Saccharomyces cerevisiae S288C: one gene and its partners. The gene in region 1 interacts genetically with each later gene. Each region holds a gene or a part of one and is shown on either strand. Other genes may lie near its edges.

Region 1 (2,790 bases):
TTTTGTTACTGTTATAGATCTACCCAAAATTAATAAAGTAGCAGGGAAGAAGTTTGATCGCCTGTCTCTCTTATTTTTCAGCGTGCTATTAGGTGCCGATTACAATCGTGGAGTCAAGGGTTTGGGTAAAAACAAATCTTTGCAGTTGGCTCAATGCGAAGATCCTAACTTTTCCATGGAATTTTATGACATTTTCAAAGATTTCAATTTAGAAGATTTGACATCAGAAAGTCTGAGGAAGTCTCGGTATAGATTGTTTCAAAAAAGATTATATTTATACTGCAAGGATCATTCTGTCGAGCTATTTGGAAGAAATTATCCTGTTTTATTGAATCAAGGTTCATTTGAAGGCTGGCCATCAACTGTCGCAATCATGCACTATTTTCACCCCATTGTCCAACCATATTTTGATGAAGAAGTTCTCAGTGATAAATACATAAATATGGCTGGAAACGGACACTACAGAAACTTAAATTTCAATGAACTGAAATATTTTTTACAAAGTTTGAATTTGCCTCAAATTTCTAGCTTCGACAAGTGGTTTCATGATTCTATGCACGAGATGTTTCTATTAAGAGAATTTTTATCAATTGATGAGTCCGATAATATAGGTAAAGGTAATATGAGGATTACCGAAGAAAAAATTATGAACATAGATGGTGGAAAGTTCCAAATACCATGTTTTAAAATACGGTATACAACATTCTTGCCTAATATACCCATTTCTTCTCAATCTCCTTTGAAGCGCAGTAATTCTCCCAGTAGAAGCAAGAGTCCCACACGACGTCAGATGGATATAATGGAACACCCAAATAGTCTTTGGTTACCCAAATACTTGATACCTCAATCGCATCCATTAGTAATTCAATATTATGAGACACAGCAACTTATACAGAAAGAAAAAGAGAAGAAAGGTAAAAAATCGAATAAGTCTCGGCTACCACAGAAGAATAACTTGGATGAGTTTTTAAGAAAGCATACTTCGCCGATTAAAAGTATCGGAAAGGTAGGCGAGTCGAGAAAGGAAATCCTGGAACCTGTGAGAAAAAGGCTTTTTGTAGATACAGACGAAGATACTAGTCTGGAAGAAATACCGGCTCCCACAAGACTGACCACCGTCGATGAACACAGCGATAATGACGATGATTCGTTGATTTTTGTAGATGAGATTACAAACAGCCAAAGCGTTTTAGATAGTTCACCCGGTAAAAGAATTCGGGATCTTACACAGGACGAACAGGTTGACGTTTGGAAGGACGTAATAGAAATATCACCAATAAAAAAGTCAAGAACTACTAATGCTGAGAAAAATCCGCCTGAGTCTGGTTTAAAATCACGCTCAAGCATCACAATCAATGCTCGCCTTCAAGGTACTAAGATGTTGCCTCCAAACTTGACTGCTCCAAGGTTAGAAAGAGAACACTCCTCTGTCCTTGACCAACTTGTCACAGACGCACAAGATACAGTCGACCGGTTTGTAGCCTGTGACAGTGATAGCAGTAGCACTATTGAATGAGTTAACGGGCACAGCGTCAAAAAATCCGCCACCACAGTTGATCGCGCCGAAAACGAGGGAGTTGCGATGAGTAAAATGAAGGGCATATATAAACAAGAGTAGACAGAGACACATTTTTCAATATCATATATATAGATTTAATTGGAAAGACAGTTATATTCTAACGTCAAAAACTTAACAAGTAAATCAAGTTGCAATGTCGTCGCTTATTTCAAAAACCATTAAGTATGATCCAGCCAAGGATAAATTAATCACATTAGCATGTGGATGTTTTTGGGGTACAGAACATATGTATAGGAAGTATTTGAATGACCGTATAGTGGATTGTAAAGTAGGTTACGCTAATGGAGAAGAGTCTAAAAAGGATAGCCCCTCTAGTGTCTCTTATAAGAGAGTTTGTGGTGGTGACACAGATTTTGCGGAGGTTTTACAAGTATCCTATAATCCCAAAGTGATAACTTTGAGAGAATTAACTGATTTCTTTTTTAGAATCCATGATCCTACTACATCTAATTCACAAGGACCTGATAAAGGTACACAGTATCGCAGTGGATTGTTCGCTCATTCAGATGCTGATTTAAAAGAATTAGCCAAAATAAAGGAAGAATGGCAACCAAAATGGGGTAATAAGATTGCCACAGTTATTGAACCAATCAAGAACTTTTACGATGCTGAAGAATACCACCAGTTATATTTAGATAAGAATCCACAGGGATATGCATGCCCTACTCATTATCTGAGAGAAATGTAGCTTTTTTAGTGTACGTGCCCTTATTTATGAAAAAAAGTCAAGTGCATGAATGAAATATTTACTGTTGAAGAATTTATTATATATATAGGTATACAGGATCTATCTTTTCGATAACGTAACTTAGTATCACATGTATTAGTATTAATACTGTGATAGGATTGTTAGCTGTTGTTTTTATATTTGCAATTTATTTATGATCTTTTTTGATGATCAAACCGTTGAGTTTTTGAACATTAAAAAATAGTGAGAAAGAAGAACTGAAATGGGAATTGAATTGATCAATATCTGTAGTGGTCGGCCTTGAATGGACCTTCTTCTGGAATACCCAAGTATTCAGATTGGACTTTACTCAATTTAGTCAATCTAACACCCAAGTTGCCCAAGTGGAACTTAGCGACAGCTTCATCCAAGATCTTTGGCAAAACGTGGACACCAACTTCGAATGGGCCTGTCTTTTGGAATTCAATGTGCTTTTCTCTGAAAGACTTATCGTTAGACTTGAACAAAGCAATTTGAGCTAAGA
Region 2 (3,066 bases), on another chromosome or scaffold:
GTTGTTGCTTCTGTAATCTCTGTAGTTCCTGCAATTGCTTCAACTCCTCTTCTTCTTTACTTAGTTGTAAGGCAGCTTGGAAGTCAGGATCTTCATCGTCGTACTGGGCCAGTTCTCTTCTACGTTGTTCATCTTCTTGAGCAGTAATTCTGCTCTCCTCTAGGGCCTTTTCCAAATCGTCCTGGTAAGAGGGAGAAGAATCGTGTGGGTTGCTCCTTGTTCTTTGTCTTCTTGGCCTTGGCCTAGCAGCTCTGTTCGCCCTTCTGTTTCTTGTATTCATAGACCTCTCTTCGCGTAGCCTTTCTTCATCATTCAACAAAGAGACGAGTTCTTTAGCCTTTACTCTGATAATTTGTCCCTCGTCAAATCCGGACTCATTTTCGTGTCTGAATTCCCTTAATGTCTTAATTACGTAAAAATTCTCTCTGCACCATAGCACACAGTTCTCACTCCCGAAACGAACAAGATAGTCCAAAACGGTCAGCGATTTGGCAACGTGTCTCCAGTATTTGCCCTTATCGTTCAGCCTCTTGTCTAACATATCCATAATCTCGAAGAAGTCCACCGAATCGTAAGATCTCTGTGCCAAATCGTCGAGAGTGTCTATCGATGGAGTCCTCGAGTCGTTCGCCGTGGCATCTCTCACAAGCACTTGTGTGGATGAGTAGCCCTTCATCATGTTCTTTGCAGAACGAACAAACTGCTTAGACATTACTTACAAAACAAATACACTTAATAGGGGTGTGTCAAAATAAACAAAAGAAGATGATAAGAATTTGTGAAGGTCAAACTAGAATGTGAGCGTATTCGCAGTTGTAGGCAAAACAGAACAAAATAATTAAATAAACGAACGCCTCCTTCAACAAAGGTCAATAATGTAGCAAAATATTGGGAGTGTGTCAATCCTTGAAAGGGTCCGTAACTAAACTCTTCTTTCTTTAGTTTCCACTACTTTTTTTTTCACCCTTCGCCGCAGGGTAATTTCTTGTAGGCCATGTATATACGATTAATCGTTACACATAAAATGCGGTTTGGACAAACAATACAATGGATCGTGCGGGATACTGCCAGACTACGCTATGCTCGACTGTAGAATACTGAGTGGTGATATCGCCCCTTCGGTATTGTGATCTTGGGCGCACTTGTTTATCTAACAGGTGCGGGTGCAAGTTTACTAGAGCATCGTCGTATGATGGGGAAAGTCAGGGTGTATGTGCCCGTCGATTGAGCACCAAGACCCGTTGCCATGTGCATATGTTATTGTACCCATAGAGGCAGTCCACGTTCGGCCATCTATCTATCTTTAGATAAACGGATCATTGGCGATACCGCCTGGCCATTTGCACCTGCTCGGGGTCGGCGTTATCGGACCGTGGAATTTGAGCCATGTAACACACGGTTTCAAACATGGGCTAATGACCTTCATAAGTAGGACGATTTACACCTGAGTTGGGTGTGATGGAGCAATGGCCAGGTGCCCCTCTCGCCCTCTTGTGTTTGTATATAAGAGCAACCTCCTCATACTCTCTTGCTTAGTCTAAGGAGGAGCTATTTAACAGTGCACAATATAACACAGCATATATACACACACACACATAAAATAACCGCAAAAATGGAGGACAGTAGCAATACAATCATACCCTCACCCACTGACGTGGGGGCGCTAGCAAACAGAATCAACTTTCAAACCAGAGATGCCCACAATAAAATCAATACCTTCATGGGCATAAAGATGGCCATCGCCATGAGACATGGCTTTATATACAGACAGGGTATTCTGGCGTACTATTATGTGTTCGATGCCATCGAGCAAGAGATAGATCGCCTACTGAATGACCCCGTAACGGAGGAGGAGCTGCAAACTTCGACCATTCTGAAGCAGTTTTGGCTCGAAGATTTTAGAAGATCTACGCAGATCTATAAGGACCTGAAGCTGCTATACTCAAACACGTTTAAAAGCACAGAATCATTAAACGAATTCCTGGCTACGTTCCAGAAGCCACCGCTACTACAGCAGTTTATCAATAACATCCACGAAAACATACACAAGGAGCCATGCACCATTCTTTCTTACTGTCACGTTCTGTACTTGGCGCTTTTCGCCGGCGGCAAGCTAATACGATCGAATTTGTACAGAAGACTGGGGCTCTTCCCCAACTTCGAGAAGCTATCACAGAAGGAACTGGTCAAAAAGGGCACAAACTTCTTCACCTTCAGCGATCTGGGTCCCACTGAAGAAACACGCTTGAAATGGGAATACAAGAAGAACTATGAGCTGGCCACCAGGACGGAATTGACCGAAGCACAAAAGTTGCAGATCATTAGCGTCGCAGAAGGCATTTTTGATTGGAACTTCAACATCGTTGCAGAAATTGGAGAGTTGAATCGTCGCGAGTTAATGGGCAAGTTCAGCTTCAAGTGTATTACGTACTTGTACGAAGAATGGATGTTCAACAAGGATTCTGCTACTAGAAGAGCACTCCACACGGTCATGCTGCTGGTGCTTTCTATTATCGCGATCTGGGTTCTTTACTTCTTGGTAAAGAGTTTTCTTAGCATAGTATAACGTATAAAAAAAAAAGTCTAAATACAAACATAATATATACATGAAATAATATCAAAATATGAAGAATAGGGAAGGAAAAACAGCAGAGAAAAACATGTGAGAGGTTTTTACAGCCCTATTATCTACCCTGAGATAGCTTTCTTCTTTCTGCCTTCTCCCTCTTTCTTCTTTTCCGCAGTTTGTGTTTCTTCATCTTTTTTTTCCTCTTTCTCATCACTGAATCGAGTTGCATCACTATATTTGAACCGTTTAATGGCTCACTGACTGTGCCAGTGATCCTTGTTGCCGTAGCCGTCATCATCATCATTGTACTCAGCATGCCCTCTTGCATGGGAGGCATTGTAGTGTTAATTGCTGTTTGAAAGGTTCTGTTAAAGTAGGACCCGCAACTTGGTTTCTTAACCACCGTCCTAGTAATGCCCAGCCACCCAGGTCGCAATGCCCTTCCTAGCATGTTTATCTCGTTCTGGTGTCGTGTGTGCTCGTCTTGGCTGGAACTC
Region 3 (3,048 bases), on another chromosome or scaffold:
TCAGGAAGAATATCCATATTGTCCAACTTGACCTTACAAAGGACGAAAGTATTGGCAATATTGCGGACGAGATCAAGAAAACGCCATTCTTCTTGGGTATTGATATTTTTATCGCATGTTCTGCAGTATCTGATTCTTATTACAAGGTCCTGGAAACTCCCAAATCAGTCTGGCTCAACCATTATAGCACAAACGCTCTGGGTCCGATACTAGCCCTTCAAAAAGTTTATCCACTGCTTCTTTTGAAAAAGACGAGGAAGATATTCTTTATCTCTAGTGTTGCAGGATCTATCAATGCGTTTGTACCACTTTCTGTTTCCGCTTATGGTCAATCGAAAGCTGCCTTGAATTATGCGGTAAAGACGCTCAGTTTTGAATTGAAACCGGAGGGTTTTACTGTCGTTGCTTTTCACCCAGGTATGGTATCTACTGATATGGGCCAATATGGCCTTGATCATTTTAAAGAGAAGAATATAGACATCAGCGGCGTAAATATTATCACACCAGAAGAAAGTGCCTCTGCGCTAATTGATGTCTTCCGAAAAATTTTACCAGAAGATAATGGAAAGTTCTTCAACTATGACGGCAGCGAAGGCGTCTTTTAGATAAGTGCAAATTTGGCTACTTATATACAACTCAGATACGGAATATACCTTTGTGTAATACACTTTTTTATTGGTAGGTGCTATATGATGTGACTTTGCTTTTGCCTCACGCCCCTTTAAGAAGGTATTTTGTGGCATCACTTTGTATGCTGATCTTTTAACGCTTAACCAGATTTGAAACTATCTCTATTATGTCCTCTGATTTTAATTAGGATGGTATATAACTGGTCCTAGAACCGAAGATTCTGCATATTCGCCGAAAACCATCCCTTAATATTATAGACATAAATTGCCAGTCTGAGAAGAATCCAAGAATCTATTTCATAATGTACATTCCTAAACATTTTGAGTCCATGGAACTCTCAAGGTACAAATTATCAAAAAAACCCCCGCTAGGAACACTATTCTCCTCTAAGGCTAGCAGGCAAGGTTTCTTCGGATGGAGAACTTCTTCCAATAAAGATGACCCCGATTTTGGTATGTGCGCATCACATATTCCATTTGTATTCGTGGAGTTCGATAATGGAGAGCATAAACTTATTGCACATTTAGCACGGAAGAATAAACATGTGGAAATGCTGGAAAGAGTTCAAAAATGCTTAGTGGTATTTCAGAGCGTCGATTCATACATTTCTCCGGCGTGGTTCCCAATGAAGAAAAAGACCCATAAGTTCGTACCAACATGGGATTTTGCCGCTGTGCACGTTTACGGTACACCAAGGATTATCCGCGACGATAAAGACTGGCTTATTAATATGTTATCAACTTTGACTGACCAAGAAGAAGAGAAAAGACCTGAGGGGGAAAATGTACGAAGTAAAGTGGAGCGTTTCTGATGCCCCAGATTATTATATCAATGCTATGCTTCAAAACATTGTCGGGCTTGAAATCAGTATTACCCATATTCAATCAAAGTTCAAATTCGACCAAAATAAATCACAGATTAATGTTGAAGGCATATGTTGAAAATTCAAAGAATTTGGTGGAGAAAGAGGCCAAGAAATGGCTCGCCTTGTAAAAGATAACTATCCAGGTAGCTTATAAGTTTTGTATTTTCTCTGCGCATTAAATATCAATAATTATTTATTCGTTTTCATTCTTTTCTTATCTTATCTTTTAATATTGACTTAACAGAGGGCAAGGCCCACCGTGATGCAGAAAGAACACAAACGCAAAGGTTTACCTATTCCCTGCAGTTAGAAAACCATGTTTGGAGGAAATGAAGAAAGATATTTACAGTTGAGTTTACAACGAAGTATTATCCTTTTTAACGAACGCTAATATCATCGGTTTCTTCATGTTTATATGATGACGATTTTCCCAAATGTAAGCAAACAAAGGCGTTTGCTGATAAAACAAATCCGTAAATTAGAAAAAAAAACAAAAAAAAACAAACAGATATGGGCTCATCAACCGGGTTTCATCATGCCGATCATGTTAACTATTCTTCAAATCTGAATAAGGAAGAAATTCTAGAACAGCTTCTGCTTTCATACGAGGGGCTATCAGATGGACAAGTCAATTGGGTTTGTAATTTGTCAAACGCTTCGTCATTGATCTGGCATGCGTACAAGTCATTAGCTGTTGATATCAATTGGGCTGGATTTTACGTTACTCAAGCTAGCGAAGAAAACACACTGATATTGGGCCCATTTCAAGGAAAGGTCGCTTGCCAAATGATTCAATTCGGTAAAGGTGTTTGCGGAACTGCAGCCTCTACAAAGGAAACGCAGATTGTTCCAGATGTCAACAAGTATCCCGGTCATATTGCGTGCGACGGTGAAACCAAGAGCGAAATTGTTGTTCCAATCATATCCAATGATGGTAAGACATTGGGCGTCATAGACATAGATTGTTTGGATTACGAAGGATTCGACCACGTAGACAAAGAATTCCTAGAAAAACTTGCTAAATTAATTAATAAATCATGTGTCTTTAAATAAGAGTTTTGAGAACGAACAAGTATTTACGCACATAACCAATATTCCCATGTAGCTCTCTTGTCAAATATATTGTCGGACGGGCACGAATAGAGATAAACATCAAGAAAGATTGAGGGGCTTCAGGAGATCATTGGTGAAGAAAACATTCCCTGTTCGCCAAATTGACAGCTCTCAATCTTTATTTGTAACCCTTATTGCAAATTTATGGCATGTTTACCCTCAAACAAAGGATATTCAGCATTTATTAAAAATATCTTTGCTTGGTAAGAAAAAAACGTCAACGAAAATGACGGAGATATCTGACGGAAAAAAAAATTGATTTCGCCCAGGATCGAACTGGGGACGTTCTGCGTGTTAAGCAGATGCCATAACCGACTAGACCACGAAACCACTTAATTGTTGAATAACGGACATCTAAAGTCATATCTATAGTGCAGCAAGTTCTTCTTCAGCTCACCCCAGTCTCGCTAAAGGCATGCTTACTTTGCCGTAAAGAAGAA

What was found. A genetic interaction does not mean that the proteins touch.
Region 2: of MXR1 (region 1) and HMX1, extra expression of one rescues a mutant of the other (dosage rescue), as found in Saccharomyces cerevisiae (one study listed by BioGRID).
Region 3: mutations in MXR1 (region 1) and YKL069W impair growth when combined (synthetic growth defect), as found in Saccharomyces cerevisiae (one study listed by BioGRID).

Annotation. Positions count from the first base shown.
Region 1 is NC_001137.3:233,225-236,014, forward strand, and holds MXR1 (peptide-methionine-S-sulfoxide reductase), read left to right. Parts: upstream 1-1,712; coding exon 1,713-2,267; downstream 2,268-2,790. Other genes in the region: YEN1 (crossover junction endodeoxyribonuclease), read left to right, coding at 1-1,516; SAH1 (adenosylhomocysteinase), read right to left, coding at 2,546-2,790. UniProt on the Saccharomyces cerevisiae protein: Has an important function as a repair enzyme for proteins that have been inactivated by oxidation. Catalyzes the reversible oxidation-reduction of methionine sulfoxide in proteins to methionine.
Region 2 is NC_001144.5:552,224-555,289, reverse strand, and holds HMX1 (Hmx1p), read left to right. Parts: upstream 1-1,612; coding exon 1,613-2,566; downstream 2,567-3,066. Other genes in the region: ENT2 (epsin), read right to left, coding at 1-712; mitochondrial 37S ribosomal protein mS38 QRI5, read right to left, coding at 2,685-3,020. UniProt on the Saccharomyces cerevisiae protein: Plays an important role in the degradation of heme under conditions of iron deprivation.
Region 3 is NC_001143.9:305,280-308,327, forward strand, and holds YKL069W (L-methionine (R)-S-oxide reductase), read left to right. Parts: upstream 1-2,005; coding exon 2,006-2,548; downstream 2,549-3,048. Other genes in the region: OSI1 (Osi1p), read left to right, coding at 1-605; YKL070W (uncharacterized protein), read left to right, coding at 932-1,441. UniProt on the Saccharomyces cerevisiae protein: Catalyzes the reversible oxidation-reduction of the R-enantiomer of free methionine sulfoxide to methionine. Does not act on S-enantiomer of free methionine sulfoxide or R-enantiomer of dabsylated methionine sulfoxide.